Linked DNA regions of Rhinolophus ferrumequinum. The main gene of each other region encodes a partner of the protein of the gene in region 2 in a complex. Links are inferred from orthologs where the notes say so. Each region holds a gene or a part of one and is shown on either strand. Other genes may lie near its edges.

The links. The genes of interacting proteins can lie anywhere in the genome.
Region 1: the proteins of ACTL7A (region 2) and TES are in contact, whole or in part, in a crystal structure (PDB 2XQN), measured with the Homo sapiens proteins. The link is inferred for Rhinolophus ferrumequinum from reciprocal best matches to the Homo sapiens genes ACTL7A and TES. Residues at the interface, in NP_006678.1 of Homo sapiens: Leu28, Gln29, Thr30, Ala31, Ser32, Leu33, Arg34, Asp35, Gly36, Pro37, Ala38, Lys39, Arg40, Ala41, Val42, Trp43, Val44, Arg45, His46; in NP_056456.1 of Homo sapiens: Asn311, Glu312, Tyr313, Thr314, Gln315, Ala316, Glu317, Leu323, Phe326, Leu335, Ala336, Gly337, Glu338, Ile339, Tyr340, Val341, Tyr353, Pro370, Glu371, Val372, Gln373, Arg374, Val375, Thr376, Tyr377, Ala384, Phe389, Leu398, Ile399, Gly400.

What each region holds. Positions count from the first base shown.
Region 1 is NC_046309.1:26,658,353-26,666,340, forward strand, and holds the start of TES (testin), read right to left. Parts: upstream 3,027-7,988; 5' UTR 2,859-3,026; coding exon 2,832-2,858; intron 2,724-2,831; exon of another isoform or gene 2,345-2,723; intron 1-2,344. UniProt on the Homo sapiens protein: Scaffold protein that may play a role in cell adhesion, cell spreading and in the reorganization of the actin cytoskeleton. Plays a role in the regulation of cell proliferation. May act as a tumor suppressor. Inhibits tumor cell growth.
Region 2 is NC_046295.1:61,958,724-61,964,884, reverse strand, and holds ACTL7A (actin-like protein 7A), read right to left. Parts: upstream 1,850-6,161; coding exon 542-1,849; downstream 1-541. UniProt on the Homo sapiens protein: Essential for normal spermatogenesis and male fertility. Required for normal sperm head morphology, acroplaxome formation, acrosome attachment, and acrosome granule stability.

The DNA of each region.
Region 1 (7,988 bases), on a different chromosome or scaffold from region 2:
TGTCTTTGTGACGGTGGGTTTTAACTGGTAATTAATCCAAATGTGTGCAAATGATGTGGACACCAACTTCTCCTTTTATAAAACAAGAATCCCATAATAGGATCATCCACCTAGGATGTTGTGGAATAAAGACAACCCACTTTAATTCTCCTTACACAAAATGTTAATGGAAAAAAATAAATGACATTTTTCATCTGCCTGGGGAAAATTCCTTATGAAATAAACAGTATAAGGGTTTTAGAAGGAAACAATGCCACAGATTTTAAGACAGAAGTCAAATTTAGTTTTATTTAGCTTTTTAAGCTTATTTACCTTTAAAAAAGTTACATTCAAACGATTACTTTTCTTGTATAACCAAGTCAAAAAGAAGAGACACCTGAAAACTACCTACGTACCAAAATAGGGTGAGAAGGCTCTGCCAGTAGGTCAGAGATAATCTTGTAATGTTTTCTTCTTCTAGTAAGTTAAAGTTCTAAAGGGAAGGTAAGGTGGGTTTTTGGGGGTGTGTATTTCTTTTTGTTTTTTTTAGATTACAGCTAAGACTATGAAATGTATTCCTGGGACCTCTAAACTCTGTGCTGGGAAACTTTGTATGGAATCCACAGAACATCAGGTCTGTCTAGGGTCCTACGAAGGCACAGAGAGGGCATGGTTGGCAGTCACACTGGACATCTTTGGGGTTTTCTAGTAGTTTCCAATTTACTGGTTGACTGCCCTGACTACCAGCTATGACAAGATAGTGTAACTGGGTTTATTACCATCATGGAGTTATCTGCAAAAGCTTTAAATTTATGGGGGTGGGAAAGGAAAGGAGGAGGATTACAGAGGAAGATAAGATTCTCAGTTGAAAGATAACCTTTTAAAGTAAAGGGAAGATGGAGGAGAAAAACTTACACTACATATCAAGGGCACTGTTTATCATAATCTACATTTTGAAACTAAGAAAATTGTTTATAAATGTCTGGATTTTTCCCTTGCAAGCACATGTCATTCTTAACTGGACTTTCTTCCATTAAATTACTTTTTCCTTGTCTCCAATGCTTTCAAAATCACTTTTGGATGTTGACTTATTTATTTATTTATTTTTTAAGTACACTTTATTTTTCAGAGCACGGTTAAGTTCACAGCAAAACTGAGCAGAGGGCAGAATTCCCATATATCTTCAACCCACTCAGCTTTCGCCAGTGTCTATATCCCACACCACAGTGGTCTATTTGTTACAACTGATAAACCTACACCGACACATCATTATCCTCCAAAGTCCATAGTTCTTATTAGGGTTCACTCTTGGTGTTATTTATTCTATGGATTTTGACAAACATAATATAATGACGTGTGTCCACCATTATAGTATCATAGAGAATTGTTTCAATGCCCTAAAAAAAATTCCCTGCTTCACCTATTCAGCCCTCCCTCCAAAGGATGTTAACTTTTAAAAGTTTTTGAATCAATATTTGTAAGCACGACAAGACTTCCACCCCCCAAATTTTAGACAAGTACTAAATTAAGTAGCTGTTACAAAATAAACACTGTTCATCAACAGAAGGCTGAGCAGCAACCAAAATGCTTTTAGTGGCAAGCAAGATTAACAAAAAATATTAGTGTCGTTTAAAAGCAAATGAAACAAGAAACCAAATGGAAGAGAATAGAATGCAATCACGTTACTCTTAAATTTTGCATTATCTTTCCGGTCCTTGGGTTCCTTTTTGAAAGCTGGTTCTAGTCATAAGCGACAAACTGTTTTCCCACTCTAAGTTTTTATTTTTCAATGCCTTCCTAACCTAATATTTTGCATTTTTGTACATTTTCAAAATTCCAGTTCTGAGCATGAACAGAATTAATGCTCAAATCAAGAGCTTTGTCTTTAGAAGATGAAATAGCAATATTGGCAACTATGATGGGCAAAAAAGAAAATTAGGTTCTATTCTCTCTGCAAAACTTCCTTCCCTATTTGATAAGAGACAGCTAGCTTAAATTTACCGAAAAGTAAATATGAGCAATTCATTGGAATGAGACATTTCCCACAGAACGTTACACTGGAATGTGATACCAGCATTCCGTTTGACTCACAGTCTGGTTCCCACCCTTTCCTCGCAGGGGACCTGAGGCTCCCATACGGCGGGGCGGGGGGGGGGGGCGTCTCAGGTAGGGCGGTGGGTCCCGACGTCGGGGACAGCCACGCGGGAAACGTCACCGGGCACTAAAAGCACTGGTGACAATCACCGTTTCGGGCGAGCTGCCAGCAAGGGAGAACGTTTTCTATGAGAAGTAACTTCCTACGAGGGAGGCAGTGCTTTGGAAATCAAGAAATGAATGACCAAAAAAGAAAAAAAAAAATCATCACCTCCCACGTTCTCCCAGGCGCGGAGCGCGGAGTGCATTCAATCAGCACTGTCCTTAGGAGCGCCGAGCAGCGAGCAGGGCGGGGAGGAGGGCTGAGCTGTCAAAGTCACAGCACCGCTCCCGGATCGCAGAGGCTGAAAGCGAACTTCCTGAGACAGGAAGAAGCGGCGCACGGTCTCGCCCGCACTCGCCCTAACCTCACGCACTTCTCTTCGGGAGGCACAGGCGCAGCCGAGACGTTCTACGGGAAGTGGCAGGCACTTCTAACCGTCGGAAGCGGTTAGACCGGAGAGAAAAGTCCTGCGCCCGCCCCGGCTCGCGCGCCCGCCTTTCAGGAGTTAACCGGGCCGCCCGGCACCCCTTCCACCCGGGGGGCGGGTACAGGCCCGGGACCCGGCGCCCCGGAGCCGGCTCGCGCCCCACCCACCGCCGGCGGCCAGGGGGCGGTGCCCCGCGCAGGTGAGGCGGCCGCCAGCCGCGCCCCCTACCTTCTTCACTTTGACCGCCAGGTCCATGTTGGTGGGTCAGAGGTTCCTTCCCCGGTCCGGGATCTCACGCACGGGCTGGTCCGACCTCCGGCTCCGCCGCGGGTACTTTGGGGACCTATGGCTGTCCGGCGCCGCTACCGCAGCCACCCGTCCCGCGCAGTGAAACTTCCGCTGCCCAGTCCGCGGCAGCCGGCCTGCGGCGGGGACCGGGAACAAAGAGGCCCACACAGCCAATGGCAGCCTGGCAGCGCCGGGCAGCCACCAATCACCGAGCGCCTCACGCACCTTGGCGGCCCGAGCGCGGCGCTGGCAAGGTGAGGGGCGGGGCCGCGTTAGGGGCGGGGCCCCAACGAGAGCTCTCGAGTACCGACCGTGGGCCCCGCGGAGGCGCTGGGCGTCAGTCCCCAGCCTGTGAAGAGCTGGGGCCCGGCTTGCCTGCCCCTGAAGATGAGGAAGAGCCCTTTCCATTCTGGCAGCTTCTACCTGTGTTTCCTGTGGACCTTAGATATGTGTCCTGGGGAGTACTTATCCCGCCATTAGCTTCTTGGTTTATTTTCAGGGCAAGGAGAAAGAGAAGCTACTATGAACATTCGTAGGGATCACTGTGATGGCCAATGCACCCTAATTTCACTGTTGAGTTGTGGGTATGGACTTTTCTCAAATGCTTTCCCCATAATCCCAAGCACTGGCAAGGAACCTCCTGATCTCAGTGAAGATTCCTACATATGTTTTCTGAGTCTTTGATTATTCAAAAATGAGGATGGTGTGATTCACTTCGGAGACAGGTTGGGCCATTCCTTTGGAAGTAGAGGCTTGTTCTTTGTCCCTGCTACGTGAGATGGTGTGAGGCTGCTCATGTGTCTCTTGCTGGGATGAAGCAGTTTCATAGGACTAACGAGCAGCACTGGAGCAACTGCACGGGATCCGTTCCATGGCCTAATTCAGGAGTGACTGCAATGAATACTCTCAGATGGGTGGATCCGGACGGCATTTAGGGATTATTGAGTCTAGCTTTCTCATTTTGCAGGAAACTGAGGACACCAGAGGGGCAAGAACCTGCCCGCTTTCTTACTCTCTTGGGGCAGAGCTAGTGTTCATGAGTCTGTAAGCAAATGAGTCTCCAGCAAATTTGGGACTGTCAAAACAGCTTTTTGATTTAAGTAAAAGAGAAAAGAGTCCTTTGTTTTCCAGTTTGTTGTTATGACAAAAGATTATAATGAGTGGACGGCAGGTGATTTCCTAATCTGGCATCTACTTTGAAAATGCAAAAAGTCCCAAATAAAGTAGATATTTAGGTCCAAATGTCTCTCCTCTGTGCCTCTGGAAATTTCGTAACAGAAACACCCAAAGTTTATTTGAGCCAACACTTTCAACCCTTTGCTTACTTGGCTATTTGTTAACATTATTCAACAGAACATTGATTTATAATGTGAATGTTTTCCTCATCCTATTAATAAACTAAAAATGGAATGACAAAAATGGATCACAAATTTTTCTTGTCACTCAATTGATGTAAAAGTTTCCCATCCCATTTTCCCAAACCGTCCTAAAACTTTGGGCCTCTACAAAGTTTATCCAAGTGTAAGCTCCAATGAACATGAGTTTTGTGACAAGGCAATTTGGTCTTTTTCATGGAGATTAACAGATGGAAAATGTCCAGTAAAACAGTTTAAATAAGGCATCAAACAAATGTTGTAACATAAATTCTGGGCTTATTTGGTGGGATTTCAGAGATGACAGTAAGAAAAAGATCTGGAAACTTCTTTCTTAAACATCAAATTCTGCCCTTCCTTTTTTCCTGCCAACCCTCCCAGCATCACTGTTTATGTGTATCATTGCCAAGGATGGAAGTTGAAATTCAGTGATTTCTATCTGGACTCATTACAGTGCCAATTATATAGAAAATAAAATTGAGGTAGATAAGTACTAAGTTAGGAGGCTTGGATTGTGAGTCCTTATTTAGCTGGTAAAGTGTTTAGCTATATATTAAGGAGTTAGAAGTGATAATACTTGGTAGTTGATGACACAGGAGTGAGTAGAAGATGTCACACATGTTTCTGACTTGATCATCTATCTAGATGCTTCAGGAAAAGAGAAAATAAAGGATGAGGGGCAGGATTTTGTTTAGTTTTTCTTTCTTTAGGGGGTAGTGGGGATGAAGAATATCATGGGTTTTGAATATCATGGGTTTGAGGCTGGGATATTGAAGTATCTATATATAAATCTTACAGATGAAACCTGAACTGGAATAGTGATTTAGGAGTCAACACCGTACATAGTTAAATGAGTAAAAGCCATGAGTGGAATACCATCAGCATGGGAGACTGCAAAATAAGACAGTATTGGTTAGGACAACTGAGCAAAGCTGAGCAAGAAAAGCACAGAAAGGAGATGAGGCTAGTTAGAGGGTAAGGAAAAAAAAAAAAAACAGCCAGAGTAGAGCCCCAGCAACCAAGAGAGGAAATTCAAGAAGTAATTATCAACAATGTCAAATTGTAGAGAAGGGTCAAATGCCCATTGGATTTAACAAAAATGAAATGATTGGTAAACTGGAGGCATGCTAGCTATATCCCACATGAAATTTGATGGCCAAAGTAAGGTAGAGCAATGGGTATGGGGAGTTAGAAGAATAATCAGTGTTATTAAAGAGAAAGAAAATCTTGGAATTAATACATTGGTTTGAAGGGAGGGAGTCTGGAATGACTCTTGGGAACCTATTCTGGGTGACTGGTATGGTAGATGACCCTCAGTCCTTAAGGTTAGAAACAGAAGAGAAGGAAGACTGAGAAAGATAATGGGTTTAGTTTTGCATGTATTGATTTTGCAAGGGCAATTCGGTCTGAGTCTGGTGGTCAAAAGAAAGATCTGGGCTAGAGATACAGATGATTGATTATAAATGCACAGGCACACACGCATACATATACAGAAATACATGTGCATACAAACACACACACGGTAAACATAAGCACTAGGGAAAAGAAACACCAATGGAAAGTTTTCTACACCAGATGAAGTAAATTTTCAAGATAGAGATGACTACATCTGTTTCCTTGATTATTAATGTGGTCCCAGGAGCCCTCTTTAGAGATGTTAATCATTTATTAACATCTGTTAGAGGAACTCCTGTGCTACTGATATAGCCATTATTGTTCATTAGCAGCTTGTATAGGATTACACATTGTTTTACATCTCAGAGCAAACTATTACCTATTAAAAAAAAAGTTTTTATTGACAAAACACTAGGGATTAGCTAAGTAAATAATGGATGATCCATATGATAGATTTATGATAGGTTCTGAACAATAATACTTGAGAATTTTTATAATAGTAAACACGGTAACAAAACAGAATATAGAATTGTATATACATTGTGCTCACCACTCTACAAAATACCATGTAAAAAGAACATGAAAATACGCTAAAATGTTAGCAGTGGTTTGCCTTTGACTAGTGGGTCCATAGGGATTCCTTCCTTCCTTTAAAAAAGAAATTCCATGATGAGCATGACATTTTTCTTAATGGTAAAACCTCATTTTAAAATATATTATTCAAAGCATTTTAGGGATATGGGTTGAGGGCTGCATAATTTTCAATCTCTCTCAAACCCACATTAAAAAACAACAAAAAACAGACCAACTAATTAGCAAAATCAAAAACCCTTGGAAAACCTTTACAACAAAACTAGGTGACCAGGTATCTCCTTAAACCCCAAAACATAGCAGTGAGGCCAAACCACCAAAAGCCACAAGATATGTACATATAAACAATTTGTGGAGATAGGAAGGGAAACAATACAGTGGTGTCTGATGGACGGAACTCAAGATGTTTTTCTCTAATAATTCATTTTAAAACACTGCAGGCCAATTTTCTAACAGCAACTGAAACAGTAAGAATGACTAAAGGGGCTAAAGCAATCTCACCAGTGGGAGATCTCAAAACTGACCCTCCTGGACTCATTTCTAGGAGAGGGTCCCACAATAAGAAACTGCATGTAGGGAAATCAAAATGGAGTAGGATGGTGCAGAAGAGGCGGTGGAAAGTGAAAAGCTAGAGAAGCATTCTCTGATATGGTAGCCAGGAACCACATGTGGTTATTTAAATTTTAATTAATTAAATTAATTTAAATACTGGACATTAATTAATATTTAAAATTCAGCTTTTCACTCGCACTAGTCATACTTCAAGTGCTCAATAGCCCGAGAAGGGAACAGAGTTAGGAATTCCCAAAAGCATGCTGTGTTTTTTAAAAAAGATTTTTATTAAATTATAGCTAACATGCAGTATTATATTAATTTCAGGTATACATCATAGTTATTCAACATTTATATACCTAAAGAAGTGATGACCATGATAAGTCCAGCAACCATCTGACACTGTATCGCGCTATCACAATATTATTGACTATATGCCCCATGCTGTACACTACTTCCCCATGACTTATTTGTTTTATACCTGGAAATTTGAATCTATCATTGCCCTTCTCCTTTTCCCCTTTTTTAATTTTTCAATTACAGTTGACATTCAATATTATTTTCTATAAATTTCAGGTGTAGAGCATAGTGATGAGACATTTATGTAATTTAAGGAGCGATTCCCTGACTAGTACCCACCTGGCACTGTACATAGTTATTACCATATTATTGATCATATTCCTGGTGCTTTACTTTACATCCCCATAACTGTTTTGTAACTACCAGTTTGTACTTTCTAATCCCTTCCCCTTTTTCACACATTACCAACCCTCTTCCCATCTGGAAACCATCAAAATGTTCTCTGTATCTATGTGTTTGTTTCTGTTTTGTTTATTTGTTTATTTTGTTCTTTAGATTTCACATATAAGCAAAGTCACCTTGCATCTGTCTTTCTCTGTCTGACATACTCCACTCAGCACAGCACCCTCCAGGCCCACCCATGCCACCACAGATGGCAAGAACCCATTCACTTCCCTAGCTGAGCAAAATTGCATGGTATGTATGCACAACCTCCTCTTTATCCATTCATCCATCGATGGACACCCCAGCTGCCTCCACATCTTGGTTATTGTAAACAATGCTGCAATAAACATTTGAATACACACATCCCTCAAAGTAGCATTTTGGGTTTCTTCAGATAATTACCCAGAAGTGGATTATAGGTTCCTTCTTTGTCATTTGTTAC
Region 2 (6,161 bases):
GTGGAATCTACAAGGTGATACTGGAGAACAACTCTTGTGGTCAGAGCCAGACACCGGTATTCAGATGCTTTGTGGGACAGTGAACCGTTACAACGTACTTCCTGTTGGTGTTCATCAAAGGGGGTCTTCTTAGATGCCACAACTGCATTTACTCTATAATCTACCCTCATCACACTCGCCCGTCCAAGCAGATTTTAACATGACAGTAGTTCCTCAAGTGGGAAATACACAAAATAAGGGACAGAATAATTTTAGAGCTAGTTTTTCCCAAGAATGTTTAAGCAGTAGTCATGGAGTGCATGTCTTTTCTGCCCGTCGTCCACCCCACCACCTCCATTTTTGTGTTGGCAAATGTGTATTTTAAGGCAGATGCTGCGTGTATGAAGTGGTTTTCATTAAGTCAAGCAATACAGAAACACTGTGGCGGGGAACAGGATTGTTTAATACTGCCGAGGGAACATGCTGGCTCGGCTCCATATCTGGGCTGGGTGCTCACCCAGCAGAGGTGACAGCAGCCACAGCGACCATGCTTCATCAGAGTTCAGAAGCACCTTCTGTAGAGGAAGAAAGGCCCATGTTCTTCGTACTCAGAGCGAAGGACCCACAGGGGTTGGAAGCCCTGAAGTGATGCCAGGATGGAGCCTCCTGTCCACACTGCATTGTCTCTTCCGGGCAACACGTTTACCTGGGGGGTGTCATTGGGACACATGGTACTCAGCTCTTTCTGCAGACGGTTAGGGAAGCCGCGGAGCATAGTGCTGCCCCCGCAGAGCAGGATGTTCCCCATGAGGTCCCGTTTGAGGGCGATGTCACACTTGTTCAGGCAGGACACTGTCTGGGTGTGGAGGCCCAGCTGCATGGACTTGATCAGAGAAGGCTTGAAGAACATCTCTGAGCAGAGGAACCTTTCCTGGTACAGGTCTATCTCCTGCCCATCCGGCAGGGTGTACTGGAGTGCACGCTCAGTAGCCGGGTCTTTCTTCTCTTCGATGGGGTCCAGGGCCACGTAGCAGCATTTCTCCTTGATGCCCTCCACGATGGCCACCTGGTCCTTGGTGAAGTGTTTTCCTGCGTTGTTCATCAGGCCCATCAAGTAGGCTGTCAGATCAGAGCCTGCATAGTCCAGCCGTCCGGTGATGCTGGGCAGAGGATAACCCTCGTAGATGGGGACTACGTAGGACACACCGTGGCCGACCTCCACGACCATGCCGGACGTCCTTCCGTAGGAGTACATGGACAGGCGGGACTGGTAGGCAATGTGCATTGCAGGCGTGCTGAAGGTTTCAAACAGCATTTCAGCGTACTTCTCTCTGTTGGTGTGTGGGCTGAGGGGTGGGTCCGAAACCAAGACCGCATGCTCCTGTGGGGCGATCTTCATCTCCTGATGGAAGAGATATTCCCAGATATCCTGCACCGAATCCCAGTCCACGATGATGCCGTGTCGCAGAGGGTTCGTTAGCTTGAGACGCACCTGTGGATTGATGAGCTCCTGACCCACATATGTCTCTTTGCGGTTGTCCCCGGTTTTGGCGGTCTCCATGTAGGGCTTGCCCACTGTCGATGAGATCTTGTGGCTGGGCTTTGGCAGCCCAGCAAAGCCACATTTACAGTAGCCAGTGCCAAGGTCCACGACCACCGCTTTGGTCACGACTGCCTTGGGCTTCTTGACTGCGGTCGATTTGGTAGGTTCTTCCGACTCCGAATGGCGGACCCGCACTGCCCTCTTGGCTGGGCCCTCCTTCACGGAGGCAGTCTGGGTGACCTGTGTGTGTGGGGAGGCACTCTCTCTCTTGTCAGGCCCATCCCCTGTGATTGCTGCCTGTGCATCCCACACGCTATCAAGAGCCATCTTGCTTTCAGAAGGTTCCTTGATCCCACCGGCTTCAAGGTCCGAAAGGCTTAAAAATCAGGGCAACTTGAGAATTTCTCCAGTGATGACATCGCTGATTATGATGTAATGCAGTGACCTGGGCCTTTCTAGGTAGGGGAAACTGTCCTATGTTAGGGTAGATTTGGGGTCGTGTTTTTGAGGTGACTTACCTTTTTCTCAAACTTGATGTATCCAATCAGTATTTATTGAGTGCTTGGTATGTGCAAGGCAGCTGGGAATACAAGGCAACAGTGGAAAAAAAATTCTCTGCCCTTTTACAGTTTACATTTTAGTCAGTGGGGGTTGGGGAGAGAGACAATTTTTAATATATATGTATATGTATATATGTGAGTGTGTGTGTGTGTATATACATATACATATATATATGAAGATGTTAAGGGCAAAAGAGACAAAGCAGGGAAGGGGAATGGGGAGGGCGGCATGCTAATGTGCCTGGCAGGGCTCCCTGAGACAGTGACACTGATGGAGACCTAAAGGAGGTGAGGGAGAGTGCCATGTGTATATCACAGCAACAGACGTAGAGGACTGGAGAGGGACATGTGACTGATGAGTTAGAACAGGGTTAGCAAACTGTGGCCTGCAACCTGTTTTTGTAAATAAAATTTTATTGGGACACAGCCACGCTCATTTGTTTATGTATTATCTATGGCTGTGTTGGTTGAGTCATTGCAACAAAGACTCTGGCTTGCAAAGTTGAAAATACATATTGACTCCCTGGGCCTTTACGGAAAAAGTTTGCAGCCTCCAAGTTAGAGAGGATCCCAAGAAGAATGTGGCTGGTGTGGAGAGAGCAAGGACAAGGACATGAGATGGCAGAAGTAAGACGGCGGGTAGAGCATTGGGCCTCATGAGCCATTGCTAGAACTTTGGCTCTGACTGTGAGGTGGGAAAGCACTAGAGAATTTTGAGCAGAGATTTGACACCATCTGATTTAGATTTTAGCAGGACTAGTTGCTGCCATGGTTACTGCCAAGAACCTCTGTCTCACTTGTTCCTTCGGACAACCTGCAGAGGAATCTTTTTGGACACGTATTTGTACACATATTCCTCCTTCATCTAGGTCATGGTTCAGCAATGAAATTAGACCCTACAGAGTCCCACTGATGAGAACGTTTCAGGCCCTTAGGTACATAGCTCACTCAAAGATATCCAGCTAGCAGTGGCCAAGCTCTCCTGACTACAACTTCTTCCCGGGCATGTGCTGTGGACACACCTTGATGGGACTTGACGTGTGTCTCTGAGGCTGCTTGGCCACTGCCTCCCATGCCATCTCTGAAGCTGAGCATGTTGGTGCTGACACCTGTCACTCTCAAGGCACCCAGAATCCAGCCTTACGTTGTGCAGCCACGTGCTCTTCATAAAAGGCAGTGACTACCATGGTGGGCTTTCTCTAAGGAGCTTACTGAGGATGCTCTTGGCTCCTTGTAGGATGTGAGAGAAGAAAAGGACCAAGTCCAGTCTCTTGAGCTTTGTGACGACCTGACAGGGGCAGCCAAACTCATTTCAGAAATAAATCTCAGCTTCTTGGTTCAATGGGTGGAGGATGAGATAGCATAGAGTTTTGAAAGAACAGAAAAGTACTTTTTTCTATGCCTGGCTGCCGGCAAAATAGTTTACTTTACTTAATAGTTTACTTGCCTCTGTTTTTCAGGGGTTTGCATGGCCAACTTGGATTACTTGGCTTTATTTCAAAAGAACTTACATGATAAGACATATTTAACTTAGAATCATGTTTTCCTTCTCTTCAACCCCCCCTCTTAAATTCTCAGAAATCTGCAGCTGCTTAGTCCATGTTTTACTGCCTTGGATTGCTGTAAGAGCTTGTATTAGTTGTCTATTGCTGCTGTAACAAATTATCACAAGTTTAATGGCATTAAACACAAATGTATTATCTTACAATTCTGGAGGTCAGAAGTCCACAATCACTCTTAGTGGGCTAAAATCAAGGTGTCACGGCCTCAGTCCTTCTGGAGGCTCGAGGGGCTAGTCCTTTCCTTGCCTTTTTTTAGCTCCTAGAGGCTGCCTACATTGCGTGGCTTGTGGCCCCTTCCTTCATCTTCAGAGACCTCTCCTGCTTCTGTTTCCACATCTCTTTCTCTGACCTGACCCTCCTGTCTGCCTCTGATTAAGGTCCTGTGAGTTCTTTGAGTCTGCCGGATAATCCAGGGTAGTTAATCTCCCCATGTCAAACTCTTTAACTCACATCTGCAGAGTCCTTATTTTCCATGAAAGGTGACATATTCACAGGTTTCAGGCATTAAGATGTGGACATCTTTCACCTTGTCGCTTGACCTGTGCATCCCACTTGACTAAGACACTCAAAGCCTGGCGTGCTGTTTCATGTGCTCCTCCCCCACTGCCCATGCTCACCCATCCTTAACCCTTTCTGTCATCGTGGGTAGGAGAGGTGCTGTGCTTGCTTAAGGCCAGTCGCTCCATCTAGTCTGCCAGGTCCATGAGCGCGGGGACTCTCAGGGTCCACCCCGACATCCTTTGCGCTAAAGCCAATGGACACTTTTACTTCACGTCTCAGGGTATCGCAGGCTTGAATGCCCTTTGCCTTAGCTTCTGTGTTACCCGTTGTGTCCCTTCTCTCCTCTCTGGGTCATCACATGGTATCAGTGATGGAAGAATATAGAGACTGTTGGCACTCTGCACCCCAAACGTCCACTGCCTGGCACATGCGGCTGCACACACTGGTCATTAACCACCTAAGGTACATGTGGGCTCCCTGGAGTCTCTGGTGAGATCCCTCTAGTAGAAATACTCTATATTGCTCAGACTGCATTTCCTCACTGGATCACACTTTTGCTCCTCTGGCCCAAGACATCCTCCCGCCCCGCAAAAATGAGATGATCCTTCTCGAAAGCAACCCTGAGGCTCTCCTCTACTGGAGAAAAAAACATGGGAAGATTTGACCAAGAAACACTTTTCTTCCTGCAGTGGTATCCTTGCACCTGACTGGGTTTGGGGGATACCACCCACAGTTGACCTTTGGAAGAAAGGTGAACCAGGCCACTGTAATTTTAGCAGCTGTGGGAGAGAAGAATCTAGTAAGGCAAGGCCAAAATACAGTATTTCTTTTTTTGGATGCAGATTCCTGGATCCCACCCCAGTCTTACTGAATCTGAATATTTTGAGCCCAGGACTACTTAGGCCTAGGAATTCAACTCTTCAATATGTTGACATTTGAGAACCCAAGTCAGGAGCTCCCAGCAAAGAAGAGGATCCCTTACCAAACACACAGTGAGCCTCATTCCCAAAGCTCGGCCCCCAATGTGGTAACCCAAATATCAAGTCTGCCCATTTTCCTCAAGGTGGAAGGGGAAGGAGCCCTCTTCAGAAGGTGGAGATACTCTCCTGAGGACTCACATCTGGATCCAGATCATTTCTCTTCCTAAGCTCCATATACCACAGTCCAGTGGTCACTAAGCATCTTAAGTCAGCATGTTCCAACTGGAACTCATTCTCATCCCCTACATAACTGCTCCTGCCTCTGCGATCTCTATGTATGAGGGGTCCCGCCACCTACCTAGTTGCTGGAAACCTGGAGGAAGTGGATCGGATCAAGTTGATGAAGGGACGTAGCACTGTCATAATCACATTCAACGAATATTTTGAGTAGTTTGCCCAAGGTCATACATAGTATGGTAATGGAGCTAGATTTGAACTCAGGTCCGAGTCCAATGCCTTACTCTTCTTTCTATTCTGGACTGTCTTTCTGTAAGAAATGGAAGAAGTAGGCTCAGGGGTCCATGAGCATTGCCTGTAAATAAGCATAAGGATTGTCACATAGAAGAATTAGCTTGCTCTGCATAACCCCAAAAGTAGACCCAAGTCCAATTAATGGCTTCTCCAGAGAGGTACAGATGTCAGTCCGGTGTGAGGAAAAGTATATTGCTCAGCTGTCCATGCCAGAGCAAGTGTCCGATCCTCAGGCTCTGATTTGTGCTACCACCAATAGAGCTTGGTGGTGCTCGTAATTAATCCTTATAAAGTTGTCACCCGTGTAATCCAGTTTCATATTCTAAGAAACAATTCAGCAAACAAAAATTCTCACGAGTTCTTCATTAACATTCTTACGTGCTTGATAGATCATTTCTTAATTACATCTTAAAATCTCTCTCTTCTTTCCTCTCCATTATCTCCTCATCCCTCAATTACTTCTGTTCTTTGTAATTCTCCTAGAAGATGTCCTCAGCCTTAGTTGTTTCTCTTCCCCCTTTTCTCCTGTTTTTTTTTTTTTTTTTTTTTTTTACCACTGAAGCCC